Linked DNA regions of Rhinolophus ferrumequinum. The protein of the gene in region 2 interacts with the protein of the main gene of each other region in a pairwise test. Links are inferred from orthologs where the notes say so. Each region holds a gene or a part of one and is shown on either strand. Other genes may lie near its edges.

Evidence for each region.
Region 1: the proteins of RBPMS (region 2) and POGZ interact in binary tests that used the Homo sapiens proteins (3 or more experiments, as listed by UniProt). The two-hybrid records come from large-scale screens. The link is inferred for Rhinolophus ferrumequinum from reciprocal best matches to the Homo sapiens genes RBPMS and POGZ.
Region 3: the proteins of RBPMS (region 2) and TUSC2 interact in binary tests that used the Homo sapiens proteins (3 or more experiments, as listed by UniProt). The link is inferred for Rhinolophus ferrumequinum from reciprocal best matches to the Homo sapiens genes RBPMS and TUSC2.
Region 4: the proteins of RBPMS (region 2) and EXOSC1 interact in a two-hybrid assay, tested with the Homo sapiens proteins (2 studies listed by BioGRID). The link is inferred for Rhinolophus ferrumequinum from reciprocal best matches to the Homo sapiens genes RBPMS and EXOSC1.

What each region holds. Positions count from the first base shown.
Region 1 is NC_046305.1:51,432,412-51,440,344, forward strand, and holds the start of POGZ (pogo transposable element with ZNF domain), read right to left. Parts: upstream 3,002-7,933; 5' UTR 2,663-3,001; intron 1,765-2,662; exon of another isoform or gene 1,624-1,764; intron 1-1,623. UniProt on the Homo sapiens protein: Plays a role in mitotic cell cycle progression and is involved in kinetochore assembly and mitotic sister chromatid cohesion.
Region 2 is NC_046287.1:67,296,147-67,303,995, forward strand, and holds the start of RBPMS (RNA-binding protein with multiple splicing), read right to left. Parts: upstream 3,018-7,849; 5' UTR 2,515-3,017; coding exon 2,449-2,514; intron 1-2,448.
Region 3 is NC_046300.1:6,269,826-6,277,089, reverse strand, and holds the start of TUSC2 (tumor suppressor candidate 2), read right to left. Parts: upstream 3,015-7,264; 5' UTR 2,864-3,014; coding exon 2,718-2,863; intron 1,606-2,717; coding exon 1,485-1,605; intron 1,262-1,484; coding exon 1,196-1,261; 3' UTR 1-1,195. Other genes in the region: RASSF1 (ras association domain-containing protein 1), read right to left, coding at 4,641-4,787, 5,650-5,765, 5,882-6,179, 6,381-6,485. UniProt on the Homo sapiens protein: May function as a tumor suppressor, inhibiting colony formation, causing G1 arrest and ultimately inducing apoptosis in homozygous 3p21.3 120-kb region-deficient cells.
Region 4 is NC_046299.1:26,347,179-26,354,577, reverse strand, and holds the start of EXOSC1 (exosome complex component CSL4), read right to left. Parts: upstream 3,004-7,399; 5' UTR 2,949-3,003; coding exon 2,918-2,948; intron 2,811-2,917; coding exon 2,695-2,810; intron 775-2,694; coding exon 700-774; intron 1-699. Other genes in the region: palmitoyltransferase ZDHHC16, read left to right, coding at 6,758-7,000, 7,151-7,345. UniProt on the Homo sapiens protein: Non-catalytic component of the RNA exosome complex which has 3'->5' exoribonuclease activity and participates in a multitude of cellular RNA processing and degradation events.

The DNA.
Region 1 (7,933 bases), on a different chromosome or scaffold from region 2:
GTATCCTGCATTTTCAAAGGATTTTTTACCCATGGTGATTCTGAAACATCATGCACAGGTCATTTGGAAAATACATATTTACTGAGCTATGCCCATCTTCCAAATGTTGACATGCATCATTATACAATAATTAAAAAAAACAGTCATTCACGTTGCTGTTATAAGAAAAGTTTTAAATACTGGGAAACTGTCAAACTTGAGATGTCAACTTTTAAAGAATTCTAATTTTCACCCTCAAATTTTTATCATTGGTAACAAATACTGTCAACTGTTTTCCTGGAAGTAACAAGCTCACTTCATTAATTTTTCAAGAAAACATCCGTCACGCACTCAAGTGTAAAAAACTAGCTTGTCAATCGTTCTTTCAAGTAAAAATGCTGTTCCATGAAACATTCAGCTCACAAGTCAACGATCATACCCTGGAAGGCAGTATAAGTGCTTTTTGTGTAAAATTCATAATGAATGATCCTTCTGATATCAAAAAAAGGTTAGCCACCTTGTTGCAACAAGTTCGCAAACTTAATTTTCCAACCCCGCACTTCCCAATTTATCATAGATTCTTAAAAAATTAAAAAGATGTACTCGAGTGCTGAGATTTAATAAAATTAATCATTTTTACTGCTTCATCAAGGACATTCTCAAGTAAGTACAAGTTTCACACCACTTCTTTGCTTTATGCTAAGGCACCGCCAGTTGCTTTTGGACCACGAGTGCAAACGTCAGCGAAGAAAATAGTGTCTTAGTGTCATTCTAAAAATTGTTATGTCCTCACAGCTCCCCTGAAAGGGTATGAGGGGGTCCCCAGGTGTCAGTGGACACTTTGAGAACCGCTTTCCTAAATTATACCACTGGTTCAAGGTGGTATAAGAATCATCCTTGTTAGTTCCTTTAGTTTGAGAATGGAAACACTACCAAAATCCTGTTCAAGAGTCTTCATTCCTTAGTTTATTTAGTTTTGAGACACACCCCCAACATAGCTGGTATGTTATAACCATAATATAGGAAAGGGGCAGGAAATCAAGGGCACAGATTGCAATTTAATTCTGTTTAAAGATTCTATTTTGAGTACCTTTATGCTACACCAATAGTTCTCTATGTGGTAGTTACGTTAATCAGTCTCAGCTGAAGGAGGGCCGATTAAAAATGTAGAGGTGACACCTCCCTCCCCATCACACCCAAACAGACTTGGGGATGCGGTCCCCAAAATTGCACTTTTTGGCAATCTCTAAGGTACTTTTTATGCACCCCGAAATTAACTTTTGTGCTAAGTGGTTCGAATTCAAAGTCCAACCTCCAGACCGAAGAGCAGTATGTCTTGAAATTCAACGTCCTTCACCAAGAAACAGCCCTCTGTAGCCCCTCCTTTCCCCTGCATCTAGGTGTGAAAATTCCTGAGAGTAAAACTCCATTCTGTTCATGCTAAGAATCATCCTTGTTAGCTCCTTTAGTTTGAGATACACCTTCAACATAGCTGGTATGTTACGTGGGGTTTTGAGCTCCGGGGGGAGGTGTCTACATAGGGTAGAAGGCTATTCTGAGATTGTACCACCTCAATTTGGTACCTCCATTTCCACCTCAAAAATGAGACTGGGCTCAATGATTTACAAGGCTCTTCAGCTCTACCTTTTTCTGAGCAAAGAATGTCCACGACTAGTGAGCAGAGAAACGTGTCATCAACAGTTGGAGGGAATCCCGCGTCTAACGGGAGAAGACACCAGGACAACTCGCAGAAAGGAGGGAAAGCAGGTGGATCAACATCACTCCTTTTCAATAGGTGCTAAGAATCCAGAGAAAATAGTCCCTAGAATAAACATGGCGCCCACCGCGGCAGGATATAATAATCGGAAAATAGATTTTTTTTCCGCCTCATCCCATTTTATAAATCACGGCGCCATCCCAAAGAAATTTGGGGGCCGGGGGAGGAGACTGGGGAAAGTAACTGCAGTGAACTAAGACTTGGGATGTACTATCGGACCGAGTGGAGATTACATAACACAGGGGAGCAGCTAAGCCATCACTCCTTTTCCTCCTCGCGCTCAAAAAGAGCGCCCCACTCCTTCCCCGGGGTGCGGGGGGCGCGGGGGGCCGAGCACTCCCCCACCCCGGGGACGTCACCCCGCCGCCCCTCCCGCCCGCCTCCCCGGCGCGGCCTCGCCCCCTGGCCCGGCCCTCCCGCCGCGCCCCGCCGTCTCGCCGCCGCCAGCGCCCCCGCCCCTTCCCCAGCGGGTAGCCGCCCGCGCCCGCGCCCGCCCACTCCTCCGAGACGCCTCGCGCCGGGCGTGCGTGTGGACGTCGGGTGTGTGCGGGGCCGTGGGGCGCGAGTGCGCGCGCGCGCGCCGCGGCGGGCGCCGGGGGGCGGGGGCGCCGGCAGGCAGGCAGGCAGGGGCCTCCGCGGCCCGGTCCGCCGCGCGGCTCTCGCGGCTCGCGGGGCACACGCACTCACACACGCGCTCGCGCGCCGCACCCCACGCCCGCCGCCGCGGGCCGCGCCGCCACTCACAGGGGGGCGGGGGCGCGCGCTACCGGCCCCCGCCCCCACCCCTCGCGTAGCCGCCCCATCCCCCTCTCATTGTCTCGCCTCGGAACGCCTCGCCGAGCGAAAAGATAACGGAACCCCCGGGAGAAGGGGGTGGGGAGAGAGAAGGCGCTCTCGCTCACTCACCTCCCGTGGTCGTCGCCGCCGGTAGTCTGACCCGAGGAAGGCGCCGTCGCCTTAAAGGGACCTACACCCGGCGCCGGGAGAAGGGGGTGGGAGCAGGGGAGGGAACGGGGGTTTGGGGGGAAGAAGGGAAAGAGGGGACCGTTCAAAGCTCGTCTCCCTGAGGGTGCAAGGAAACCTCCCTCGGGTTCGAGTGATTTGAGGTGGTTTTTTTTTCCCGAGGGGGGCGGGGGGCCCCGAGGGAGGGGGGTGGGGGGGCCAAGGAATGCGGCTCCGTGTACGGGAGCTGGCGCGGGGGAGAGAGACGCCGACTCCCCCCACCGACCCTCTCGCCCCGCGGAGGGATACGGCTCGTCACTTCCGCCCTCCCCTTTTCGTGGCCTTTCAATTGGTTGGGGCGCCGGGGACGTCATGGGCTCATCCTAACCCCTGCCCGGGCTTCTTTTCTAGTCAAGTTTGCCTGGGCCTGCAAATAAATAAATAAATAAAAACAGTTTGTTTTTTTTTTAAATGAAATAATAATTAGCTTCAGAAGCCATATCTAAATTTTGGTTAGAATAATGGGATTTCCAAAGAAAATATTCCCCAATTCACTTGCCTGGACTTTCCAGGGAAATTTTGGGCATCTCCCCACTTTCTACCCAAGGCTTGTACCTAATCAAGAAGGGAACCTCATGCCACAGGCCAGATGGTGAGGCCCAATGGCACCAACAACTGTCATTTGAACAAAGGCAGCAAAATGGCACACTTCCTCAAGAGATTCAATCAATTAGCCTTATGGTAGTAGCCAGAAGTGAAGAACTTTTAAAAGCCATTTTACCCTGAACCCTTCTGGATTCTGAAAAGAAGCCACACATGATTGCTTATCAGGGTGATTCTTGTGTGAAAACTGCTTTGAAACCATTGTGAATAGACTCAGCTAAGACCCTCCATTCTAAGAAACCATAGACTCCACATTTGTGCTTTTTGCTTCAATCAAGGCTGAGGTAGGTTGGCCCAAAGAAATTGCTTAGTCCATTCAAGACCATCCACCTGTTATTTTCCCCCAGACAAAAACTAACCTCTTTTCCAGGAAACTAAGAAAATGTGTCCTTTCTTACCTTCCGAGATGATAAAACGCTAATATTTTCCTTGGCTATTTGAGGAGGATGTTGCTCTCTAAGCAATACACAAACATTTGCTCCAATCCAAATGCTAAATCCAGTACTTGGTGCGAGGTTGGGGAGATCCAGAACCATATTTCTTCCTTCTGTTAACACACACACTGCACTCAAACCACCAGACTAGGAAAATAAGCAGTGTAAGGGGGCCTTCCACATTGCACACCCATGTACATGAGTTCCCATACCACCATCCGTTCTTATTCCACTTCATCCCATTTCATACCAAAAACGTGAGTGATTTTCCGTGGTCATTCTCAGAAGAACTTCATTATCTGAAGGGAAAGAAGCACTAATCCTTTTGAAAATACTTCTGAAGCCTTTCCAGACCTGATCTGGAGAAGCCTAGGGTAAGATTATGGAATCAATCAGCAGAAGACAAATTCTACATGAAGCTCTAATCCCATTCTATGCTTTCCTGCAATAATTATTGTAACTTATTATAATGTAATTTGCCTCTGAAGTAGTCTTGTTGGAACATATATTTTGCCACGCTGTAAGTGCCAACTTACGCTCTCTGCCAATGAGGCCTAGCCCAACAGACTGGACCACACACTGTTGACCAATAACCTTTCACATACCATACTGAAAATGCATCCTGCATCCATTCACTCAACAATTATTTATTGAGTACTTGCTATATACCGGGTATGGTTCTATGTTCTGGGAATACAGCAATAAAGAAAACAAACAAAATCCCTAAACTCATGAAACATCCTCTAGTGAGGAGAGGCATACAATATACTAGGCGGGTGCAAAAGTAATTGCGGTTTACAAGGTTAAAAATAATTGCAAAAACCGCAATTACCTTTGCACCAACACAGAAACAAAGTGTTCCGATATCTATTGTTAGATAATAAATGGCTCCAAAACTTACTGGCTTAGAACTAAAACAATTTTATTATTATTTCTCATGGCTCTGGGAGATGATTAGGCTAAGCTAAGCAGTTCTCACTTGGAGTCTCAGGCAGTAGCTGGGGCTGAAGTCATCTCAAAAGCTTCCTCAAAAGTCTAGAAGTTGATGACTGTTGGCTTGGATTGCAGCTAGAGCTGTTGGCCAGAACAGCTGGCTGTTGGTATCTCATTGTGGCCGGGGCTTCCTCATGTCATAGTGGCTGAGTTCCTAGATTGTGTGGTCCGAGAGGACCCAGCAGAGATTGCATGGTTTTTTTGTGACCTAACCTCAGAGGTCACATAACATCATTTCCACCACAGTTACAGGCTCACCCCAATTCAAGGCAGGTGGGGAACATCTCTCAAAGGGAGTGGTAGAAACATCACATGGTCAGAAAAGTGTGTGGAATGGGAAATCTTGTTGTGGCCATCTTGGAAAAAGTGATCTGCCACACATTCTGTAAATAAATATGTAAATGTGATGTGATGATAGATGCTGTAGATGGGGAACAGGGCAGGATAGGGGGAATTGGGATTTTGAAGAAGGGGATGGGGAAATTGTTATTTTTATGTGGGGTGGTTGGAGGAGGCTTCGTCATTAAGGTGACATTTGAGCACAGATCTAAAGAAAGTGAAACCAAGTTCAGGTTTTACTCTTAGTGAAGTGAAGCCATTGGAAGATTTTGAGCGGAGAACTGACATGACCTGGCTAACACTTTTAAAGGATCATTCTCGCTGCTTCTAGAGAAAAACTGGTAGGGGCAAGGATAGCCACAGAGAGCCAGGTTGGGAGGCAAGTACAATAATGCAGGTGAGACACGTTGGTGGCCTGGACCAGGGTGGGAGCTGGGGACTTACTACTCTGTGACCCGTTTTTCTATGATGTAGTTTGTGCCCTGAGAGACAGTTTTGACATGTAATGGCTAACAAAGTGTGTGTGAGTGATGGTGCTATGCCTGCCACAAAGAAATAAAGAAAGAATATTGTGCTGAATGTTAACATGGGAGTTTTGCAGGGACTGGAGATACCTTTGAGGAACAAGTTTGGGGAAACAGGGTAAAGGTGAACAATCAGGGAATGGAGTAAACTCTTTGACATTATAAAACGTCCCCCAACTGTGCTCCAGTCTGGGAGGACTTATCAATCGTCGAATGGCTGGGGCAGAGTCATGTATAACTTCAGAGGATGTGAAGAAAACTCTATCACCTTGCACACTGGAGCACCATCTCTAAGCGTTCCCATTTCCAGAAACGTATTCCCCATGCTAAGGAGGGAATGCCCATATTAATTTGGACAGAGCTGGGACATGTTCCTGTCTTCAGCTAACACACAAGTTTCTAGAGTGAAGTAACAGAACTGATAGCTGTGATCGCTCTTATGTTTGAACCATCTTGGTACTCATGGGAAACCAAAGCAGCAGAACCAACGACCTGGATGGAATCCTTAGAAATCCATTCGCGTGCGCCTCTATAACATAATGGGGAGGACTCTGAAAGCCAATCCAGACTGGCCTATTGAAGAAATGGAACCCCATACTGCTGCTGAAAAGCTACCCCAGTCTTCAGTAGCCAACTTAGAAAAATTGAATCCTCTCCTTATGAGTTTCTTAGAAAGAAGGTCAAAAGTTAATGGAAGTACCAAGTTGGGCATCTCACAGGTAGGTAGCAGGAGAGTATTTCTTTTCTACCGTTTATGGAAACACTTATTTGCTTCCTTGGCTTATGGTTTCTGCCACGAGTTGAAAATTGGAACCACCTGTAGCTTGGAGAGTGTCAAGGCAGAAAGACAAATTATTTCAGCATGTCTTCAAAAGCAGTGAACCATGGGGGCCCTCTGCTGTCATTTTGCTAATATACAGACCCAACCACTGATTGCTCAGATTCAGTGTCAAGTTGACAGGTAGGTGTCAGGGTGGTCACCTGATTGTGAGGATTGTGAGGTCAGTCCAGGCAGAAAACAGCTCCATGGGAGAGAATGCCAAGTTTCCTTTACAAACCAGCATCCTGTTCCCTACAACACACACTCAGGGTCGTCGAAACCAGGCGCTCAAAGGGAGCTACTCATTTGGGAAGACCTCAGAGCTAGAAAAACAGTGGCGAAATCTTCACTATCTGAGCATCTCCCAGCTCAAAAAGGTTGACAGCAGATTGCACTGAGCCTGGGAGTCAAGAGAAATCAACACATAGGGGTGGAAAGGAGGACTCCGAAATGCCTTGCTTAGCAGGGAAACTGTCATGAAATAAAGGGCAGGTGAAGATCTGTGTTTGACCAGGTGTCAAATAAACAACGGGGAATTCGGGGACTACTGCTGGATTTTATTTAAGTAAATCATTTGCTGCCTCCTTATGTTTAGAGGAGTTGAGGACTTTTCTAGGGGCTCAGAAAATTCTCAGGAGGTGAGAAATAGCCAGAGGAACTTTCAGACTGGGTATTTAAAAGAAGAGTTCCCCATGAGACTTCAGTAAGAAGCAATTGAAGGTCTCCGTCTTCAAAATATATTTTGCAAGAAACACAGGAGCAGCAACTGCATCAGTCATCAAGATTTCTCTGTAAGTTTTGGTATGATTTCATGGGAGATAATGATTTAGTTAAACTTTGAATTAAATTAATATTATCAAAGAGACACCCATTAGCAAAGCTATATATCTAGGTTGTTGCTGTGGAGTTGAGCAGGTATGATTATAAAGTAATTGAATTGATTCCATACAGCTTCATGGAAAAAGGAATTGGCTTCCTTTACAGACACACTTGTTATGTGGCTTGTTCATTATAATAGATTGCAAAGTAAAATTTAATTAAAATTCTTTTTTTTCTCTAGGATACATGCTTTTCTAATTTAGCAGTGTTTGTATTTTATTATAGTCCTGGATAATTTCCAGACCACAACTGTGGATATTAAATAACTTCCCGGTTCATTCTTTTGAAGGACATAAGGATTAATATTATTTTACAGGTAAGAAGACGGAAGTATCCTCCAGAATAAGTTTTAAAGGTTTCTGGTGTAGAGCAGTGGTCAGATCCTTTTGGGTCTCTTATTGTTGAGCACGTACAGTAGGATTGAGAAGTAGCAAGGAGCCCATCTCCTAAAACACTCAAGGATTCATTTTTAATGTCTTTACTATTGCCTGAAACATATGGGTAATAAAATCTGAAAATGTGAAAGAGCCAAAACTCACCGATTTAAAATCATTTAACCTTCATTCATCCGGGAAATAATTCT
Region 2 (7,849 bases):
TATGTGTGTATATATTTTATATGTCTGTGTGCTGTTTACTGGAGTCCTCAGCCAAGACTTTTAGATGTGTTTGAGGACAAATTGCCGATCGTTGGGTGGGCAGGAAAAGGGTCCAGTGTGGTGGTTTTGTATAATGCTGAGCACATTAATGAGACTCACTAAAAACCATATTTATTTTACCTGTGGCTTCCAGAGTTAGACAAAAGAGGTTCGGAGTTTTCCAAAACCAAAACATAAATCCAAAACAGGGAACTTGTGCAAAATTACCTGGATTATTCAGGCCAACTGACTTTCTTTTCCTGAATTTTTAACATTACAAACCCTCTGTCTTTATAGTGTATCTGTTTTACGCACTCCACCTTTTGTACAACTTAGGTTCTGAAATCTTCCTAACCTGTTTTTAAAATAGCAAGTGTCTTGCTAAAGCTACTGACACTTCCTAGAGCCACAAGCCGTTCCCACCTAAAAAGGAACACTGTAATGACAACAGGACAGGTAAGAGGGAGTGACTATACTGAGGTCACCTGTGATTCTACTTGGACACAACCTCACACATTAAGATGACCAGAAACAGGGCAAACAACACCTCAGTACTGGCAGTAGTTAGGCTGAGAAAGGTTAAGCAGAAAAATGTGACTTTATTTAATTTTATCAAGTTAAGTAGGTTATGGTTTGGGGACACTCAAACCTCTTTTGCTACCTACCAAAAGAAAAAAAAAAGAAAGAAACCTTTACTTTGCCTGATTAATGTTTTACATTTACAAGTTTTCTTAATTGGGTGAAGAGAAAAAGCTGATTTCATACAATATGTTCTTACCCTTTGAAGTACACAGATTGCCAACCTACCTTAAATAGAAAAGCTTCTGAAGCAATTATTACCTTGGTGTGTTCTGTGAATTTGTTAAATATAGCGATTCACAAAAAAAGGCAAACTTGTCATCATTTTTTAAATTTTATTTTAGTGGCAGGAAAAATAAATAGCAAAGAAGCCAGCGAGGTTCAAGAAAAAAGTAGAACTTGCAATTCAAGTCCCCTCTTTGAAAAAGAAGGAAATGTCAACAGTATTCCTTCACTTGTAGTTCAACACAACAAGCATGTAAGCAACGCTTTTCAAAATAATAGTTTATAATAAAATAGGCAGTTTCCTCATGTGAGAAGGCAATTTTTGGCTTACTGCAATTCACCTAGGTTGCACTACCCTACATCCATGTTAAGAGTAAAATTTTGTGTTAATTTTGCGTGGTTTTAGTTCTCTCCTTTACTTCCCCAGTTACAAGTGGACAATGGGCTAAGGGCTTATATGTACTAATCAAATCCTCCACAAAATTTGGTTTCACTATCAGAATTTCAGTTTGCACATAACATTATCTCAATAATAATCTCAATATCCTAACCACTTTAGAATCCGTTTACCATTCTGTTAGCCTTATATATAGGATGATATACCTGTAAGAATGCTTTATAGGTCATACCTAGATGCATACTTTCTGCATTTACACACATTCTAAAGTTCTTTTTAGCATGTTTAAGAACTCCACTAGGTCGGATCTAAAAAAAGTAGGCGAAAAACATTGTTTCTTGGACTCCAGATCATGTACCTGTAGGAAAAGAGCCCTTTTATAGGATACGATAAATATCCTAACTACAGATTCTGAAACATGTGTTCAGGACTTCCCTCCTACACTGACTGAATTCTGTTTACACCAAAGGAAAGCTCGGCAGCCCCAACATTTTTATCGTTATTAGGGACCCACCACATAAAATTTACGCTCGGAAGTCAAAGTCCTATTAAAATTGCCTCGAGGATAATTTGGTTAATTGTAAAGTTTTAAACTCTGCTCCCCACAACCGCATCGCCCCCACATTTACAAAACCTAATCACCCAGGTTCGGGGTCTTTGACTCATCAGAGAAGAATGCGGCTGAGCAGTTATCTATTAATCCAAAATGCCTCAGCTGGAAAGATATTTCACCAAGAACTTTCAACGCTGAAAGGGAGGGGGCAGGGAATAGAAGGTATCTTTTAAGACGAACTTTCCCCGACTTCTTCCTTAAACCACACACACAAACACACCCCACAACTTCCAGGGCCGGACGCAGAACTAAGTCCTGATACTCCGGGTCCCAATAATCTGAGGTCACCCAGGAGTCAGTCTCGATTCCGCTTTTAAAATCTCGGGCAAACAAAGCTGAGCATTATACTTACAAAAGTTTCCGAAAAGTCCTCAAAGTTACGCAATGTTAGGCACGCACCCACAAAAACACACTCTTCGAAGATACACTCTCCCGGGACCACAGTCTGCGGCAATTCCCACCCCCTGGACTGTGGTGCCCCGGGACCAGTGCCCGCATCCCGCCAGCCTCTCCCCGCCCGCCGCCCGCACTTCGGAGAAAGCCGGCGCGGTTAGCGTCCCAGGTCGTACCCGCCACCGCACCGAGCCATCAGTACCTCTTCCTCCTGAAGGTTGGCCTCGTTCGGGGTGTTCTCCTTCTCGGCTTTGACGCCGTTGTTCATCTTCCCGGTCCTCCCTCGCCGGGCAGGGCTGGGGCGCGGGGCTGGGCGAGGGCGCGCTCGCCCACTTTTCCCTTCCCCGGGCGCGGCGGGTTGGAGCCTGGGCAGCGGCGTCTCGAGTTCGGGCTCCCGGGCGCGGCGCGACTGCGGCGGCGGGCGACTCAGGAAGTGCAAGAAAGAGACCCGGCAGGGCGAGGCGCGGGCTGAGTAGGGGCCGGAGACAATCGGGACCCGGGCCGGAGACCTGGAGAGCGAGGGCGGGCGCAAGGGGAAGGAAGGAAGGAAGAAAGGATGGGGCGAGGACGCGCGTCCCAGGAGTGACCCCAGAGAGTTGGGGATGTGGCCGACTAGGGGTTGGGGGCGACCGCAGCCCAAGCCTAGCCGCTGCTGAAGGGAGGGGGCGAGAGGCGCCCAGAAAGGCGGCGGCGGCGGAGGAGGAGGAGGAGTGGGACAGAGGGGCGCGGGCCGCGGCTGGGACGCTGGGACGCGGAGAGCGGCTGAGTGCGCGCTCCTGGTTCACTCTGGGAAGTCCAGCAACCAAGCTGCGCCCTTTCTTTCGCCTTCCTCCCTCCCCTCTTCCCTCCCCCTCCTCCCTCCGCCCTCCCTGGACGTGGGCTGCAGGCTGTCGCCGAGAGGGACAAGACGCGAACCGCGAAGCCCCCGCGGGAGGAGGGGCTGTGCCGGGGGCAGCTGCCCCGCGGCCCAAAGGCGTGCGCCCCGGGGCGGGGGGGGGGGGAGCACGGGCGGAAGCGGCAGACCCCAGCCTCCGGCTCCGCTGTAGGTCCGAGGGAGAGGGCCGCGCGGAAGGAGGGAAGGTCAGGTCTTCCGAGTTACCCTGGTGGCAGTGTGGGGACGGAGTTGGCGAACTGGCGTGGCGGTGCTCGCGAACTTGGAGCGGGGCTTCGAGGAGACAGGCCCTCTGCCAGTGTGACCACCGCTAGGTGTGATGTGCTACTTTTGTTTGTGGGATTCTCACGAGGGATTTGCACCCCTACACCGGTTTACACCTATTTCTTCCCTTCCTAGTCCGCAGCTGGAAATGACAGGATGCGAGAACTGGAGTGACATCCGGGGGCAGCCTGAGCCGGGCCGCCGTTTTCAGGGCACAACTTCAAGCCCACTTCACACGCGGGGTCCTCCAAAACCTTTCCCACCGCGATCCCCACCCCCGATCCCCCGAACCGGCCGCCGCCGTTACTCTCCGCGAGGCTCCCCCGGGCCCCTGTTCAGTTCAGACTCTTGTCACAGCCCTTATCAGACTGTTCTGGAATTAATGTTTACCTGGCTGCCTTTCTGACTCTTTTGAGAGCTCCTCCCTGGAAGACAAGACCGTGCCCTGTTTATCTTTTTAATCCCACAGCTTTATAAATACGCCACCTGGTATATAGTAGACACTCGATAAATATTTGTTGGCTAAGGGAATGTTCCCCCTCACTGCAAGCCGAACCGGGGGCCAACAGAGCTGATCTGTAGAGTGTCAAAGCTGCTGCTTAAAAGAGACTCAGCATTCCGGGAGGTCAGCGCACGAAGCTTGTTCAGGCACCAACCTCGGACGGACCATGTGGCATCCTTTCCTCGAACCTGTGAAAAGGGAGTAGTTATATTTATCTCCCAGGAGTTTGCCATTAGAGCAGATTATAGTTTGATAGAGCGATAGCACCTAGCACCCATTCTTACCCACTTTAAGTGTGTGACACATGGAAGCTAACATTCTTATTAAGGACATTTCCATTTTTCTTGCGCCATAGAGAGCTTTTCCAATACTGTATCATTTAAGCTTTCAAACTTGACTACTACAAACACCTACGTTTAAAACTCCATACATCAGTAGATTCTCCCTCACTTCCTACCTCCAGGAATTTTCTTTCCCAGCATGCTGTTCCTTTCCAGCACAGCACCAAACACAATTTCTAATTATTTGCTTGCTCCACTGGTCATCTCTCCCCCCTCCCCACCCCTACTAGACATTCTTTACCCTTATACCGTTTTAAGTGCTGCTGGCTATGGGGTGAGGGTGGTGGTGGGAATTGAAGATAAGGCTCCCGCTGTCAGGGAGTGTAAAGTGGTGTTGTGGCGACAGGATATCCAAAACAACTCCACTGGCAACATAATCACAGATCCCGGTTCAAATTGCGGAAAGCAAAGCAAATACCGCTTTAAGAGCATTCGGAAGAGAAAAACAGCAGTGATACTTGGATTTACATAGCGGATTTTTCCTGGTGATGAGGGGAGTCTGAAGATTTTGATAAAGAGATTTAATTGCTGTCGTGATGTCATTTCCTTCTATAGGGGAGACAGTGTGTATCCTGGGTGAAAATGAACCCAGAGTCTATTGAAATTGAAATTGAAGTTACCTGGACAACTGTTTCCACCTCCAGTTCCTCACTGGGTTGTGTGAGGAACCACGAGGGGGCAATGTCTTCCCGAGCATTGGCGAGGGGTGGTCTTGGGCCCCTGTGCTGACCTCTAATGCTAGCTCTACTCTCCTTGGCCTTTCTTGCCTGTTAACTGAATACACTGCACAAAAAGGTATTGTCTTGCTGGAGCCTGGCAAGGGCCCAAGAAAAAGGACAGTTGATCTAGTCCTTGATGATTCCAGTCCGACTTCTCTTATAAGTCAGTGGAAGAAGTATGATTCCAGGATGCTGGGCGAACCTTCCCTACCCCCACCCAGGGAAATGTGGCTTAATTCCAAATGTAGAACCTGTTTCCTTTGTCTTTAAGCCAAGCTGGCATTTTGTCCATTGTTAAAAGTCAAACACCTCTGAGATTAAAAAAAAAAAAAACAAAAAAAAAAAAACAAGAATAAGTTCCATGAGAGGATCCTTGTCTAACTTGTTCATTGTTGTGATCCCAACATCTAGATACTGCCTAATGCATAGTAGGCACTCAACAATGATTTGTGAATGAATGAAGACATTGTTTTATCAGTTTTGATTCTGAGGCTTAAATGACATTATCAGATCCTTCCAAGACCTGGCAGGAGGGACTGAATTAGTGGAGGCATGGAGAGCCATCACATGGGGCATGAGGCAGATTCATGGAGTGGTCATTAGTCATTATTTTGCAGAGAGGAGACCCTAGATAGACGACAGCCTGTGCAGAAAAGGACAATCGATGAGATTTCAAGAAATAAAAAATAAAATCACACGACTCAGCACGAGGGCCCCAAACCACAACTGAGCCAGTCAACTGACACATGCAGTTGACAACAAAGCAGGGAGACCTAAACTATATAGTCAATGGTGAATGAAATTCAAGGTGTCTTCAGAAAAGTGTGTAGGGATGGGGTAACATGCCAGTAAAAGGGGTACTCCTATTTTGCCCTTTTCTTTAGAAATGGTTTAGACTTATATGGAAGAACAATAGAGTCATGTTGCCAACAAAACTCAATGAAAATCTGTGTATTTGGCTATTTATAAAATCTTGTGAGTATGGGGAAAGTTTGAGTGTGGGGGGGGAGAGGGCCATGTACATTCATTTCGGATATAAATGATCTTTATGACCTGTTTACTACTTCAAAGAAAGAAAGTTTCAAAAGTGAGATCTCAGTAGCAATAGTTTCCAGACGCACTAAGACTTGTAAGACAACAAAGGGATTTTATATCCTAGAAAAATAGGGCTAATGACCAAGAAACATCTGCTTTCTTTCCTGCCCACCACCCTACAACGCTGCTTCTGGCCTACCAGGTTACATGCTATATTGCTAGGGAAATATTGTATGCACCTATAGTTTTTATTACTCATCTCTATTTCTCTGGCTATGTTCATTTTGAGGTGTGCTTTAAGAAATTCGAACCTAGAATTATGTCTTAAATGACAGGTCATTACAGATATTAAAGGCCTATTTTGGGCATGGTCTTTGTACCTATGTTAGCACTGCAGCAGAAAGCTGCAGTGTCTACCACATGTGTTGTGACTGTTATCTGTTCTGCATCCTCTGCTGGACCAAACAAGTTTTTCAGGCCAGAGACTGTGTTTTATTGGTTTTTGTCATCCATAACATTTCTTTCTCTTTCACCCACCCCCACCCACCTCCAGGCCATCACCATCATCCCCTGAGTTTATTTATTATTTTTCAATTGTGGCTAAAAACACACACAACATAGTATTGACCACCTGAACCATTTTTGAGTATACAGTCAGTAGCTTACAGTATATTCACATTGTTGTACATTTAAGACATAATTTAAGACCAGTCATTTAAGACATAATTTAAGACAGTCTTCTGATCTTTACCTCCTAAATAGTTCTGAGATTCAATCACTTCCCTCCAAGTACTCATGGAAGCCTACGCAGCCACATGGACAGGCTCACAGGGAAGAGGATTATAGCCCCAGCTGAGCTCTTAGTGGACAGCCGGTACCAATTGCCAGCCTTGTGAGTGAGTTATCTTGGAAGTGGATAATCGCTTAGCCCCAGCTGACGCCACATGAAAGCAAGATGAGCTGTCTTCACTGACTCCTGCCCAAATTGCAAAATTGTTAGCAAAAAAAGTGAATGCTGTTGTTTTGAAACACTAAGTTCTAGGTTGGTTTGTTATACAGCAATAGATAACTGAAACATAATTATGTACCTAGAGGTAAGGTCCTGCTGTCACAGTGTGGGGACAGAGTCCCAGAGAGCAGTTTCCAGGCTCTCAGCCTCACGGGAAAGGTGCTGGCCCAGGTAGTAGATGGCCATCAGCTGTGGCTAATTGACCATCAGCTGTAACCAGTTAACCAATTAGCCACTGATATAACTGCTGTGGCTGCACTGGTTGGTCAGTCTGTTGGTTGGCAGGCAGAGAAGCAGACAGCAGGTTGCAGGTCGCGTGGATCCAGCCTCCAGTGAGACTATAGCGGTATGACTCCCCTATCTGTGGCTCCGTGGGTGTTCCTTTTTGGCCTAGCCATATCCTGCATTCTTATGTGGGGAGCGGAACCAGGGACCCCGCAGGCCACCTCGCCAGACAAATGGCTCAGCGAGCAGAGTCCTCCGCACGACACACAGAAACCCAAAGTAAGTGGCAGTGTCTTTGGAATCAGGTGGAGGATAGAAGCTGGGAGAATTTTGAGTAATCTGCTAGTGAAGAACATTATCAAAGAAGAGTGAAAGTATTGTTATTATAGGATGGAGAAAGGGGAACACCATTTATACATTAGAAGAACAACTAGCTAAATTAGCCTGTTGTTACATGAAAGATACAGAAAAAATACATAATGAACATGTGGATCTGGCTAAGTAGCTATTTGGATACAATGTTGAAAGGGTTGAATGGTTTCTTTTAGATACTTATGATACAGTGCAAGAGAAATGAGATCGGCTGGAAATGAGATCGGCTGAAAAAGGAATCTTT
Region 3 (7,264 bases), on a different chromosome or scaffold from region 2:
AACTGAACAAATAACACAACAGCCTTCCTAGATTGGGGGCCACCCTCCCCATACGATTTTCCACTCTTGAAGCACAGAGCTTGCACAGTAAGGAATTAAAAAAAAAAAAAAAAAAAAAAAAAAAGTCATTTCTATGTAGAAATCAGATTCTGCCCCAACATCATGAACTAGACTATTTACAAACGTTCACATTTTAAGTATTCCTTTATGGTTGTTCTCTCCTTTCTGTCTTGACCCAGGGACTGGTACTTTCCCTTGACTGATCCTGAAGGGACGGGCATACTATAGGGGAAGGGGTGGTGGGCTCCTCAGAGCTACTGGCACCAGCCCTAGGGTGCTGTCCCTCACCACAGGGTGGCGGATGGTCTCCTCCCAATGGGGGAGAGGGCTGGAGCAAAGGCAAGGGGGATTAGATGGAGTAGGTGGTTGGGGCAACTCCCCATAGGCACAAGCATCCTTAGCCCTTCCTGAGCCCATCCTATGCCCTCTCAACTGGGGGGTGGGGGGGGAGGGTGACAATAAGGGACAACAACTAGTTGCAGTGGGATCAACCCAGTCCTGGGTGGGGGGAGAAACCTCCCACACCAGTCCCCACTCTTATTAACAGCCAACAAACTGTCCATCCATCTGGGGGTGGAAATACATGGGCAGGTAGGCAGGAAGAATCAGGCTTGCGGTGCCCCCAGCCTCTGCCCAACAGAGGAGGAATCGAGGTAGCAAACGGCTGAAATGCTCCAACGAAGGGGTGAAGGAAGTGAGGGAAAGGAAGTTCCCACTTGTCTACAGCTCCCACAGCCCAGGGGCTGGAAGAAGGCAGACCTTACTTGTAAAGTGCTGGAGCCTCTAGCAGGGCTGGGCCCTAGGCAAGCTTGAAGAAAGCAGGTCAGGCAAGGGCACAGGAACCAGGCATTCCCCATCAGCATATGCCCTGCCATGCTCCTTGTAGGGACTGCTGGGCAAGGTGGGCTGGTAACTCTGCTCTTAGCCCTTGCCAGCCACCAGCCACTTGTCAGCATACAAACCAGCACCCAAACCAACAATGCAGAGCACCCAACTTCCCCGCTTACAGCTGTAGGTTCCGGGCCAATGGAGTCTATTTAGGGTGTGGCTTCAGCCTAGGTTCAACGGAAGCCACACCTTGAGCCTGGGGTTTCTTGCTGAGACAGGGGGTGCTTATGCCTGCCACCCCCCAGGCTCACACCTCATAGAGGATCACAGGGAAATCCACGTGGATGCGGGGGGGATCCAGCTTCACGATGCCCTGCCATGGAAACAGAGGCTAGTGAAGGCCATCTCAGCGCCCCTACTCCAGGAAGCCTTCCTGTTCCTCCCAGCTCCTCCCCCACGACCCCCCACCATGACAGCAGACCCCATGTCTCCTGTCACACTCCTCCACATGGAGGAGACAGGAGACTCCCCATGTCTCCTGTCACATACCTCCACACACTCAACACAGGCTTTATGACCAGTGCCCAGTCCCTCACCTGAGGAATCAGGTTCTTATGCACCCGCCTCAGCTTGGCCCGCTTCTGCCCGTTCTTGGTGATGATTGTCTCCTCATAGAATTCGTGAGCCAGATCCCCATCCTCGTCGTAGAACATGGAGCTGTACAGAAGGAGAGGGGAACAGGCTGGGCTGGAGCCTCATACCTGCTTATGGCAAATGCCCCAGACCACTGCGAAGTGTGCCCACCCCCAAATGGGGAGGGACAACCTTGGTGGGAGAAAGGGAAGATAATATTCCTGCGGAATCTCTTGCTTAGGGTCTGGGGTCTACTAAAGGAAGTGAGGAGTGGGGTGGTGGCCAGTGCTACTCTCTCAGACCCCAAGAATGGAGGTTATTTCAGGCAGCCAAGGCCAGTTCTCATCACTGGTCTGTCCAGGAAGAACAGCCACTCCAACTTCAGGCAAGGACTTCTAGAGCGGGCAGGATGGCGACCTGAGCATGTTGGTCTCTCTCCAGAAGACACTGCTGGCCCAGGGCCGAAGCCTGAGATAGCACATGACTGAGCTAGGAGGGAGCCTGAAGAAAATAAGGTTGCATCCTTCCCATCCACGCCCTGGTGGCTGGTGCAGCCAAACTGCCACTGTTGGGTCTCCCTAGTATTTACAGCCAAATCTCTAGCATCACCTAAGTGCCAGTCCCCAGGGGATGATCAGGGCCAGGTCAAACTAGTGCTCCTGTCTGGACCCCTGGGGAGAGAAGGGAAGTCAGTGCTCCAGATCTGGAGAACATACCTGTGTGAGGGTCTTTTTTTTCCTGGGCCCCATCCCCAACGCCAGGGCCCAGTCCTACTTTCCTGGTCCCTACCCTCAGAGGTCCAACCTCACCACTGTGGGTGACCGAAGCAGCCAAAACAAAGGGTCATTCTCCCCTCAAGATTAGGAGGGAGGCCAGGAGCCGTTAACTTGCAGGCTAGGCTGAAGGGATGAAAGGAAGCCATCCTGACGTCCCAAGAGGCCCTTAGGTTTGCCATGCGTAAAGCTACTTGCCCAGGGACAAGCTACAGGCCCATTCTTCTTCTAGGGACACCTTAACAGCAGCCAGGCCGCCGGGAACCGACTGCCCGGCTTTTCCCATCCCTTGGCTCCAATGAAGGCCCGAAATATGGGAGTCACCCTAGCTCGGGTACAGGGAATACAGCGGTGGGAGCTACCCATCATGTGGGGCGCCTGGCCGCCCGCTTGTCCTCCCCCGGGCGGAGCCCGCGCCCTTACCCGCGGCGCGTGAATACGAAGGGGGGCACGACTCGGCCTCGCGGACGCACCAAAGCTTGCTCAGAGACCGCCGCCTCCGGGCCGCCACCCCCCGCCGCCGAGGCGAAGGGCCACAGGCCCCGAGCTTTGGAGCCGCTGGCGCCCATGTCAGGGGCGCCGGCGCATGGCGGACCCCGCGGCCGCTTCGTTCTCACAGGGCCGTCGGCGCCGCCATGCCCAGCCTGGGCCTCCGCTCGCAGGTGCCGATGCCGCCGTCTTCCGCAGGCTCCGCTGTCTCCACGGAAACTTCATTTCCGCTTCCGTACGCTCCGCATGCCACTCTTTCTGATTGGCTGCTCCTCTCGTCGGTCCACTGAGTGCGACCAATAGCCGACCTCGGACGCTAGGCATCCCGGCACGCACTGGGAGACGTCAGGTCCCGGCAGGCCACGCTCTCTCCAGCTGGGGTAACTCCCACCTAGGAAAGCAGTGGCTACTCCTAGTGGCTTCCTGGGCATGTGCGGCGGCTCCAACGTCCCGGTCCCCCATAGGTCAGGTGCAGCGGGCCTGCCCAAACACCCGGGTTCCCCCAAACCAGCACTTTGGGACCTGACCCCAGGCCAGGCTGCGCGGTGCCCGTCTGGTCTCATTCTATTCCCATACCGTTTTTTCGATCACTACTGTCGCGTGTGGGGAGGAAGCCAAACCTAACGAAAATGAAGGACTTGGCCAAATTTCATATAGCTTACATTCAAGGCTGAAGAATTTCAATCTCAGGGTCCTCCGCAAACCCACCAGAAGGTATGCTTCATGATGGCAAGAAGTAACAGGTGTACCTTTAGCGTCATGAGCAGTGTCTACAGTAGTAGCTCAATAAATATTTAGTGAAGCGCCTCCTACAGCTTGCAGGGTGTGTGGTTTCCCTAATCTCTAGCTACAGCTGATATTCTTGGCCACACCAAGACCTGAGCCCCAGGGTGCTGACTGATGACTGAGTACATGTCTGTACCCCACATCCTTCACAAACTGGTCTCACGGTGACCTTGAAAAGGTGCTGTGAGCCTGTTCATCACCCTTGGCAGCTACTGGCATAAGGCACAACTGGGGCTTAGGGCCCATAATAAAACAGTCCAACAGCGGGAGCTTCTTACGTCTTTATTCAGCCAAATTTTCTCAGGCCCAGGTCCTGATGATGATTGTCACCCCCACCCCCTTCCCCACAGGAGGCATTCAGCTGAGACCACAAAATGTTACATACATTCACACGCATCATCAAAAATACCCAAAGTAAAGACCTTGGCTTTGACTGGCAAACAAGGCACGGACCTGGGCCAATGCCGACACTCACACAGACCCTGGCCCAGGGACATCCTCCTTGAAGAAGGCACTGAGGCACTGTTGCTATACCTTGAGATAGCATTGGCTGACCCCAGGGTGTGTGTGGAGTCAGAGGGCATCATAGAGGGAAACCTAGACACTTCTTTGATGCCTGCCTTATCTTGAACACCCATCCTTGGCTCTGATTAGGCTGTCCTGAGACCCCATCGAAGACCTAAAACATACAACCTTTCCCCAAAGAGGAGGACCCTCATCGCTGTAAACACGACCCTGGTGGTAGGGTCTCCAAGATTCTTGTATCTGAGACACCAATTAAGGAAACTTCTGTCTGCTCTTCCCTTGCTGCAAGCCTAGAGCAGCTTCCCAGGGCAACCCTGGCCCACCATGACCCACAACATGAAGGGCAAAAGGGGACAGAGCCATGCTCTGCTACACCCACCGGTGGACACAGGGAACCAGTTCCTTCACTGTTTTCTGGGCTCATTCCCCCAGCAAGAGAGGGCTTCCACGCACACTCACTCCTCAGGCCACATGGCCCTGTCACACTCACACAGCATGCCCTTGGTGCTGCCTACTCTCCCCCTTCCACCTAGGGGTAACAAGAGGTCATCCTAAGGGGCAGGCGTGCAGGGCCTCCTGGATCTTCTGGCGGCAGTAAGAGTACTTCTTCAGGATCTGGCGGAGGTGTTCCTCTTCCTCCCGCTGCAGGATGCGCAGGAAGTTGTGTAGCTCAGGCATGCTGAAGGCATCCCACTGCAGGGGAGAGGGGTGACACTAGCTGCAGCAGGCATAGTTAAGCTAGCAGGCCCTCCTCAGAGAAGACCAGAGCATCGTCACACAGCTAGGATGGGGCTTTCTAATGTCAGGTTCTTGCCTGACTGGTCTGTGCTAGGATTCCCACCAAGTCTCTATGGAAGATGGGTCCTACAAAGTAGGGCAGTTGTCTCGTGGACAGGCAACCAAACCAGATGTTCCCAGTTACCCGTGGACAGGTCATGCCTATACTTTGAGTCTAATCCCACTCCACAGACCCAATACCTTTGAGCCAGAAAACTTCCAGTTGAAAAGTCCTAATGCCTGAAGGGGACCCTCCATGACATCCTGGGTCCACTTGTGTAGCTTTTTTTTGTTTTTTTTTTTAAACTTTTATTTATTTAAGTGTGTTTTTCCAGCACCCATCAGTTCCCAGTCAAGTAGTTATTTCCATTTAGTTGTGGAGGGCGCAGCTCACAGTGGCCCATGTGGGGATCAAACCAGCAACCTTGGTAAGAGCACCGCACTCTAACCAGATGAGCTAACTGGCCGCCTCACTTGTGTAGCTTTGATTTAAACTGGGATCACCATACCATCAGATGGACTCCTGCATCTCCTAAGAACTTTCCACAACAGGAAAGTTGCAGAGCACTAAGATACTTCCTGGCTTCTTGGAAGAGGCCCTAGACCTTGACACGAGTGGCTAAGAAACCTTCACATTAGCCACAAGACTCACACAGTCCTGCAGAGGCTTCGCAGGGCTTGTCCTCCAGCCCTATTCGTCCTCCGAGACTTACTGTAGCTGCAACCCACCAGCCCTGCCCAGTGACAACCAAGAAACAAAGGAGGGCTGTGTACTCACATTCACTTCCCCAGAGTCATTCTCCTTCAGGACAAAGCTTAGGGTCTTCTCACTGGGCCCTGCAAGGAGCCGCAGCCGCAGGGGTTGCTCATCATCTGACAGCTTCCGGAGGTACACTGCAGGCCGGGAGGGGAAAGGAAGTGTATGATTAGTCAGGCCCAGCCCCTTCATACACAGCTGCATGCATATATACCCTCACACACGGTGGGGTGGGGTGGGGTGGGAAGCCCACCTTGGCCATGACGCTCAGCTCGCTCAAAGAGCGCAAACTTGCGGGGGTCATCCACCACCAAGAACTTGCGCAGCAAAGCCTCGATGACCTCTCGTGCCCGCGTGCGTGACAACACATGGAGGTGCTTGACCGCATCCTTGGGCAGGTAGAAGGAGGTGCGGCGCCTCACAGCTGTGCCCCGCCCTGGGCCCCGCCGGGCATCCTGCAGGGTGGGTGGCTTCTTGCTGGAGGGTACTGAGACAGGGCGCACCAACTTCAGTTGAACCTTAATGAAGCCTGTGTAGGAGCCGTCCTTGTTCTAAAGAGAAACCAAACCATGACAAGGTTCCTGGTGAGAGGGAACAGATTTGGGTACCGCCGGTCCACTTGGGGCTAGGCTGGGTGTGAATAAATCACTGCTTGGGCCCCCCAAGAATACCTCAGCTGTGACCCTCTGGACATCAGGCACACAACTGGGGTTCCTGCCTCTCCCCACCCCCTGCCTGGGCTGTCAACTCACCAAGCTCATGAAGAGGTTGCTGTTGACCTGGCCATTGTACTCCTTGATCTTCTGCTCAGTCTCAGCCTGAGAAAGGTCAGGGGTCTCCCACTCCACAGCTTCGTCCTGAAAGATGGGCCAGCATGGATACAGGGCCCGTAAGGAACCCATCCCGCTGCCATGCATGTCACGGGCAGAGAGGTGAGCCGTTGGTGGGCCACGCTGAAAACAGCCTCTGGGGCAGCCTTTGGAAACTGACAAGAAAGCTCGAGGCCTGATGAGGAAAACTCATCACTGCTCCTAGATCTGCATGCTACAGATAGAGGACGCAAAGGCAGAATCATTTGGCTTCTCTCAGCCCCCTGGCGGGGCCTCCTCCAGGTGAGGCCCTAAGAATACCTTAAAACCAAGGCAAAAGAAGGCACAAGATCAGGGGCCAGGAAAAGATGGCGGATGCTGAGGAAGGACTCTTGTTTACAGTAAAACTACCTCTCAACTGCACAGCCTGATGCCAGCACTTTAGTTAGGTGGGGTCAGGGTGTTGTCCTGGAGAAGGCAGCCCACTTTGCCACTCTACCCTGGCAAAGGGCCACAACCCACTACAGGGTGAGAGGTATGAAGATTGGTATACACCAGCGGCCCAGCCACCCGTGGGCAGGAGGGGAAGGGCAATCTCTACCACATTAACACCCCTGGGTGGAGGACTTGGCGCCAGCCATGCATGTCTCAGACATAGTGAGGAAACCACTGTGCCATGTCATTTGATCTTGACCCGAGCTGCACAAAATGTAGCATCAGGCCAGGTACCAATCCGCCTGAGATGCACAAGCAGCCTCCTGGTAGAGCCTGTCCCACAAGCCAAGCAGGTAGCTTCTGCACGTCCTCCCTGCCGTCTGGATGTTCAA
Region 4 (7,399 bases), on a different chromosome or scaffold from region 2:
GGATGGAATTTAAGTGTACATTTCAGCTGCTGCAATAACATCTGGATTACTGCCTCTCTAGTTATTTTCAGAATTACACATAGATTTTCTGCTGGAGCAATGTATAAAGAAATAAACTGAGAGCTCCAAGTTAATTTAACTTGGTAGAGGGTAGGATGATATATTATAGTTACTGATCATTACAGTATTAATTTGTACTTCCCATGAAACATCCTAAAAGACTTTACATTTAATAGGAACGCTACAGTATTCAAGTCTCTTGCTTCTCTGCAGAAAAAGGTCCCACTTCAGAAGTTCAAAAATAGGCCTCCACCACCCTTTGGTACCCCTAGTTCCCAGACACAGGTAAAAAATATATATGTACTCAGGGAACCAGCTCTGTGAAAGAACTACGCAAGCCTGACTTGGCTGCCTTGATCATTATCCTAGAAATCTCTAGACCAGCACAGTCCAGTAAAACTTTCTGTGATGATAGAAATGTTCTATGTTGATCAATATGGCAGTCACTAACCACCTGTGGCTAGTAAGCACTTGAAATGTAGCTAGTGGAACTGATAAATAAATTTAAAATTTTAATTTACTTAAATTTAAATGGCCATATGTGGCTAGTGGCTACCATATTGAACAGGGCAGTTCTACACAGATCATGATTTCAGCATTGGACAGGTGCCCTAAGCAGGGAAGTTAGGACTAACCTACCTTACAGGTTACAATAGTCCCGACATCTGGCAGTAACTGGGACTCTGTTTCTCTCATTACAGACACGACAGGAAGCTACAAAGAAAACAATAAAATGTGAGTATCCTGGCTAAGCCTTGGGTAAAGGTATTCGTGGCTTGAGAATAATATAGAAATTCCTTAGTTGAAGTCATGAGGGCAGGTGGAATACAGATACATTTGTAGCCTAGAGCAGAAGCCTAGACATTTTAGGAAATAGGAAGGCCAAGGGGCCACAGGAAGAATGCCGCTAAAAGATATAATGTAACCATTTCAGATTAGTTCTAACAAGTTTTTGGTGATTTTCTTGGAATTTATTGGTACATAATTATATGGCCTATAATCGTGGATAAATTTGACTCTTTTCTCCAGGTATACCGCTTCTTTCTGTTTCTCATTTTATTGTATAGGCTAGAATTTCTAAATAAATGTTATGTAATAGTGGCCATACTTGTTTACTTCTAGTTTAAGGGAATACTTGTAGTTTTCTCTTTGAGCACGGCATTGACTATTGGAATAAGATAGATAGTATTTCTGAACCTCATCTTTTATTAATCTCGTCCTTGTTCACTATGCTTCAGCTCTCCTGGCCTTCTTTCAGTTTCATCAACTCACTAAGTTTCTTTCCATCTCAGGATGTCTGTTCAACCTGTTCTTTCCGCCAGTACTAAGTCCTCCCACCCACCCAACTCTTACGTATTCTTTAGATTCTGGTTAAATGTCACTTCCAGTGACTAGGGTGGGTTTGCTTATGATGACGTTCTCATGGTATCCTGTCGTATTCTTTTAAAGCAGTCATCGCATTTGAACACTTATTTGTTTACAATTTACCTGTGCCCCTTGACAGCAGAGATCATGTATATTTGGCTCATTACCATCCCCTTAGAGGTCACTACTGAGAGTGGCACATGAACATGCTCAACAGATACCTGTATCTATGAAATGAACAAACTGAGGAAGGTCAAGGACATTCCCAAAATTGACTGAATAAAAAGCCTCTCATTTTACAGATGAGGAACAACGGAAACCCAGAGAGTTTGTTTCTTACATAAAGTAGAATCAAGGTTTAGTTAGCCAGCACCTAAGAGTGTTCTAATTCTGAATCCTCTTTCTACTATGTTACCTGTCTTTAAGCTGTTCCTTCGAAGTCTGCTTATCTGATCTTGAGTTAATCCTAGACCAGCCTCCAGCACAAGGATAGTTTTACTAACGCACTCGACAAATGTTTATTGAACAGTTACCTTGTGGTACTCTCTGAGTTATGGTGGTAAGGCCTGCTTTCATGGATCTTGAGTTTAGTAGGAGAAAAGTCTAATGGGGAACTGAGTGTTTAATTATATGCTGAGATAAGTGCTTGGAAGGAAAGGAATACAATTCTTTGTGTTTAACAAAACACACAGTAAACAAAAACCAAAACTCCTTTCCTCAGCTAGTGGACAGGTGTCCTAAGCAGGGAAGTCTAGGAGGGCTCCTCTGAGAAAGTGAGACTTAGAGAGGCTATCTGAAAGATAGGTAGGGATTAAATAGGCTAAGGAGGAGAGAGGAGCGTGTTCCAGACAGATGGCGTTCCTATAAAGGTTCTGTGGCAGGAGAGAGCTTAGTGCGTTAGCGACACTGAAAGAAGCCTCTATGACTGACTAGACTAGATTGCAGTGAGGTGGGAATATGGATGAAGCCAGATAGGTAGGTGACATTCGGGCAGGATTCAGCAGCTCACGGCAGGGCTGCGCCCACCTCTGCTCTTCCCTCAACTTCCTCTCCTGAGTGTCAGGAACACAACCAAGAGTGACCAACACAACTAACTGGGCTGCGCTAAGTGTCCAGCAGCAGGGACCACAGCTGGAAGAAACTTAGAGACCAACTCTTCTACTGGTGAAGCTCTAAAGACGCGTCCGCGGAGCCGCTGCATAAGGACTGCGAAATCAAGGGCAACCTAAGGGAAAAGCAGAGACAGAGGAGGTGGGAAGCCGCCTTTACCGCGCCATTCTCGCTGCTTTTCGTCATGCAGCCAGCAAGCGACGAAAAGATGTAGCCGTGCCGGGTGTAGGTGCCGCTGCCTGGGCTGGCCTCCTCCAAGTTACAGAGCCGTTCGCCTGCAGAAAAAACGCTGCATCAGCCACGTGTGCCCAGAATCTGTTGGCCATCCAGCCTTCCTTCCTCTGTCCCTATCCAAGATTCACAATGGGCACCCCTCACTTACCGGGGATGCAGTACCTCACGGGTGGCGCCATGACTATCGCTGCCCCAAACCCCGAGAGAAACGAAGCCGACTTCTCATTGGCCCAAATCCAGTTCCTCAGTAAGAAACGCACCAATTGGTGCTCTTGTCACGTGATCTCCGGGAAGGCCTTCTCGAGGGGTGAACTACATTTCCCAGATCGTCCCGGGCCGAGTCCGGGGGAGGAGCTCCGGGAACGCGTGCGCTTGCGCTTGTGGTTGAGGATGGTCTGGCGGCGGGTCCGGGTCCGCAGGCTGGCTCTGTGGGCGGCGGGCCATGGTTGATTGGATTGAGCCGGGCTGTCCTGGGGCGCGGAGCTGGAGGGGGTGGCAGTGAGCAGAGGCTGCGGGCTGGATTTGGCTGATTGGGGAGTCGGCAGGCGGCAGGTAAGAGCGAAGCCGCGGCCTTTGCTCCCCAGTCCTGTCCCTTTTTCTAGGGTCGGGCCCTGTTCCGGGGCCTTATCGTGAGCCCGGCTTCCTGCTGTCTCCTCGCCTAGCCCTGCACGTCCGTGCCCTTTTCGTGCCCTCCGGGCAGCCGTAACGCGCCAAGTTGAAAGGCCGACCAGCCCACGTCGCCCATTTCACAGATTTACAAACTTAGATCCAGAAATAGGATTTGAATTATCCAGTGTCTCGAAGATAGTTTAAGGTAGAGCACAAACCGGAACCCACATTTTTTGACTTCCAGTCCATCACACTTTAACCATACCACCCTCATTGAGAAATAAAACCATGCCCCGGTTTTTGTAACTGCAGTTTCCGATCTTACAGTCGTATCCTTTCAAGAGTCGTGTGGGCCATTCCTTAACTTTTTCTCATCCCAGCGTGTTAGTCCGAAAGGGAAGTCTGCACATGAATAAAGTGTTGCTGTTACTGATGGTTGACAGTACTGCTGGAGATTGCAAACGTCCTGAGCGCAGCATCTTTGTCCAGATGAGAGGTGTCACGGCTTTCATCAGTTTCCTCTGCCGTCTGGTGGCTTTGGAATCTGTTTTTCCCTGTGTAAGCCGCCATCCTCCAATCCCATTTCCCCTTGGGAAACAGATGGTGACTTAGAGCCTTGAGAAGAGGAGTGCGCCATGGCCTGCAATCCCCTCTAATCTGGTGGCAGATGTCCCTATGGCCTGTGGTTACTACTGAGGGGTCAGAGTGCTCAGGGCTTGTACTTGGGGTGATAGTGAAGCTGTGCTTTGCTCTTTTTCCTTCCCTGGTCACTCTGGTCATCCACCCCTCACCATCCCCTTCACAATTTGTCAAGTTCTGCTTTAACTGAGTTTCCTGAGATGAAAACTCCGTATGTTCAGTTGTGACCCCGTGGACTACAATACATATCTCTTCCCTGGCTTCCCCAAACCCCACTAACTAAAATGAGTGGGGGGCTTGGCTTGAGACTTTATTCATTCAAATCTGATATGTAGCTCTACATCTACAAGTTTACATGTTTGGGTTGATTTTTAGTTGGATAGACTTGTTTTCTAAAATGCCTTCTAGCTCTTAAGTGCTATGATTCTAAAAATGAAGACTAATAGCAGCAGACACTTATTTAATGTTATCACATTGGCAGGAATGCCCTTGCTGTTATTTATAGGACAGGTAGACATCTGACAAGCCTGTCCACTTCTGCATCCCAGGTCATTCATTCAACAAGTATTTATTGAGCATGCCCATGAGCCGGGTATCATGCTAAGCTCTTTACGAACATTTCATTTATACGTTACCAAGTGTGTATATGGAATCATAAAGGGTTAGACTTGGAAGGGACCTTAGCGTTTACTTCTATCTGCTCACTGAATGGTAACACAAGGAAATTGAGTTCCAGCAGGATTTGGTGATTTGTCCAAGGTCACAGAACCACTTAAGGGCAGAAGTGAACCCTAAGTCAAGTTATGGGGCAGGCGAGAGTTGGTAAGTCTAGTCCTTGAGGCAGGCATTTCCTGTGAAGATTCTGGAGATGATTGAAAACAATCCAAAGAGTGGAGAATCTGAGGAGGAAATTTTTTTTGTTTTTTTTTGTAGACAGAAGAGATGACATATAATTCGTGTTTATTGTAGGTGAGGGATATATCTTATTTGCAAGCTATTGCTATAAAAAGTATTTAGCAAATAGGAAACTCGCCATTAGCCATAGTAAGGGACAATCTAAGTCATTTGGACTTGTTGTGGTGTAAAATATTTTGTCCCACTTTTAAACATTTGATTATGGTGGCCATATATACTATTTCAAAAATTCATATTTTCAGCCAAATCATGGTTCCAAACAATAGGAGTCCTAACTCAAAGGAGGTAGGAAGATTGAGTTTTCATTTTCCATCTTCTTCATTGCTTCTTAATTCTCTAGCCCCTAGGAGGTGATATGGGAATGGCCAGTTTCTTTATCCTCGTGTAGAGAGTAGGTCCCTACTGAATTGCCTTTCTTCTCTTTCTCTGCTGGCCTTGTCTGCTGGATTTCTTTTTCCCTTAGGTCGTTACAGGGTTTGTGGAAGGAGGTAATTAACTGTCTTTGAAAGGCCTCTTGTGGTGATGAGCCAGGATGCAAGGCGAGTACTTTGCTCCAGTTACTGCACTGAAACCATCCTACAGTGCAGCCGCCTCCTCCAGTTTCTGCTGGGTTTTGAGCTGCCTGTTAAATAAGTCAGTGGAGTTGCTGAGGACAGTACTCTTCGTAGGGGAAAATCAGATGAGTTCTTTTCTAGTAAGGACTTTAATCTGCAGAATGAGGAGACAGTCATGGAAGGAATCTGTCTTCTCTTGTGGGCATTGCCTGGGCACTGGCCTCCCACGGCTGTTGGCTGAGGTAGAAACCACATGGAAGAGATGAAGGCACTTGCAGAGGAGCCATACAAAGGGCTAAAGAGCTGGGAAGGCTGGTTGGGAAGCTTGGGGCCAAGAGCAGCAGCGGCAGAGGCGGCTCTTGAGTGTAGCTAGAACAGGGTGGGGGCGACTCAACTGCAAGGGCAGGCCTTGTGGTTTTCATGAGCCACCAGCATGGAGTCCTCCTCCCCCCGCCACTTCCCCTACCACCAGTATTTTCCTGTCAGTGGTGTTATTCTGCTATGAATACCCAAAGTTGTCTTGGCTTCTGTAGCCTTGGGGTAGGGCTAGGAATGGAATTGAGACAAAGCATCTTACGTCGTGCGAGGCGTAGTTGAGCTGTCCTGACAGGACATACTACCAGGTTGGGTCTGTAATGTCAGCCCAGAGAGAGTAGGAAGGATGAGTATATTTTGCCAAGACTCAGTACCAGGGAAGAGTGAAGTGCAGGGTCCACACGCTGTGTAGCGCCCCCTTTCCCCCACGCTGTTCCTGAACGAAGAGCAATTGTTAGGAAGTAGGTCGAAGGGCCGGGACAGGTGAGGGCCCTGGGAAACCCCTGCTGCACTGGCCATACCCACAGAGACACAGGGGGCAGTGTTGTGTACATTGGCTGTACTCCACCCAGTGGGCCGTCTACACAGACAACTCCAGAGACCCTGCTTTGGCTTGGAGCTGCCTACCTGTCCTTCGCCTGTTTATTGTGGCCCTTTACTCTAGGTGTGCACTGTCTGGGATTTGCTGTGCAACCACACGGTGTAATGTAAGTATGATTTCTGCCTGCTCAGAACCTGCACACCCTACTCCCTGTCATCTGGTTGGGACACTGGCACCATACATTCCGTAGAGAGGTGAAGTGACTGTCCTACTTCCCACAGCTGGTGACTGGCCCAGCCAGGCCTCAGTCTGAGGTCTTTGCCTCTAAGCTGGTGCTCAGGCTCTCCCCATCGGTGGAATAGGGAGGGACGGCACCCAGGCTGGCCACCCACAATGGTGTGCTCTCCTAGGAGCCATGCAGGGCCAGCGGAGCCTGCTGCTGGGCCCCGCCCGCCTCTGCCTGCGCCTGCTTCTGCTACTGGGCTCCCGGCGCCGCTGTCCCCCTCTGCTCCGGGACCTGGTGCGGCGCTGGCGCTATGGCAAGGTCTGCCTGCGCTCCCTGCTCTACAACTCCTTCGGGGGCAGCGACACCGCTGTCGATGCTGCCTTTGAGCCCATCTACTGGCTGGTGGACAACGTGATCCGCTGGTGTGGAGTGGTGAGTGACGCTCCGGAAGAGGCCTGTTTGGGGGCGGCAGAGGGACCTGTGTCTGAGGGACCCGCAGCAGCCCCCACTGCAGGGACATCCTGAGTTGCTCTGGGTGTTGGCAGGCTCTCCCTGCATCTCCCCCCTCCCTGGTATTGGCAGGTGTTCGTGGTGCTGGTGATCGTGCTGACCAGCTCCATTGTGGCCATCGCCTACCTGTGTATCCTGCCCCTCATCCTCCGCACCTACTCAGTGCCACGGCTCTGCTGGCATTTCTTCTATAGTCACTGGAATCTGATCCTCATCGTCTTCCATTACTACCAGGCCATCACCACTCCACCTGGATATCCACCCCAGGTGGGTCCCCACAGGGGCTGGGGCAGGGAAAGGGCTGCAGGCCCTGGGAGCCAG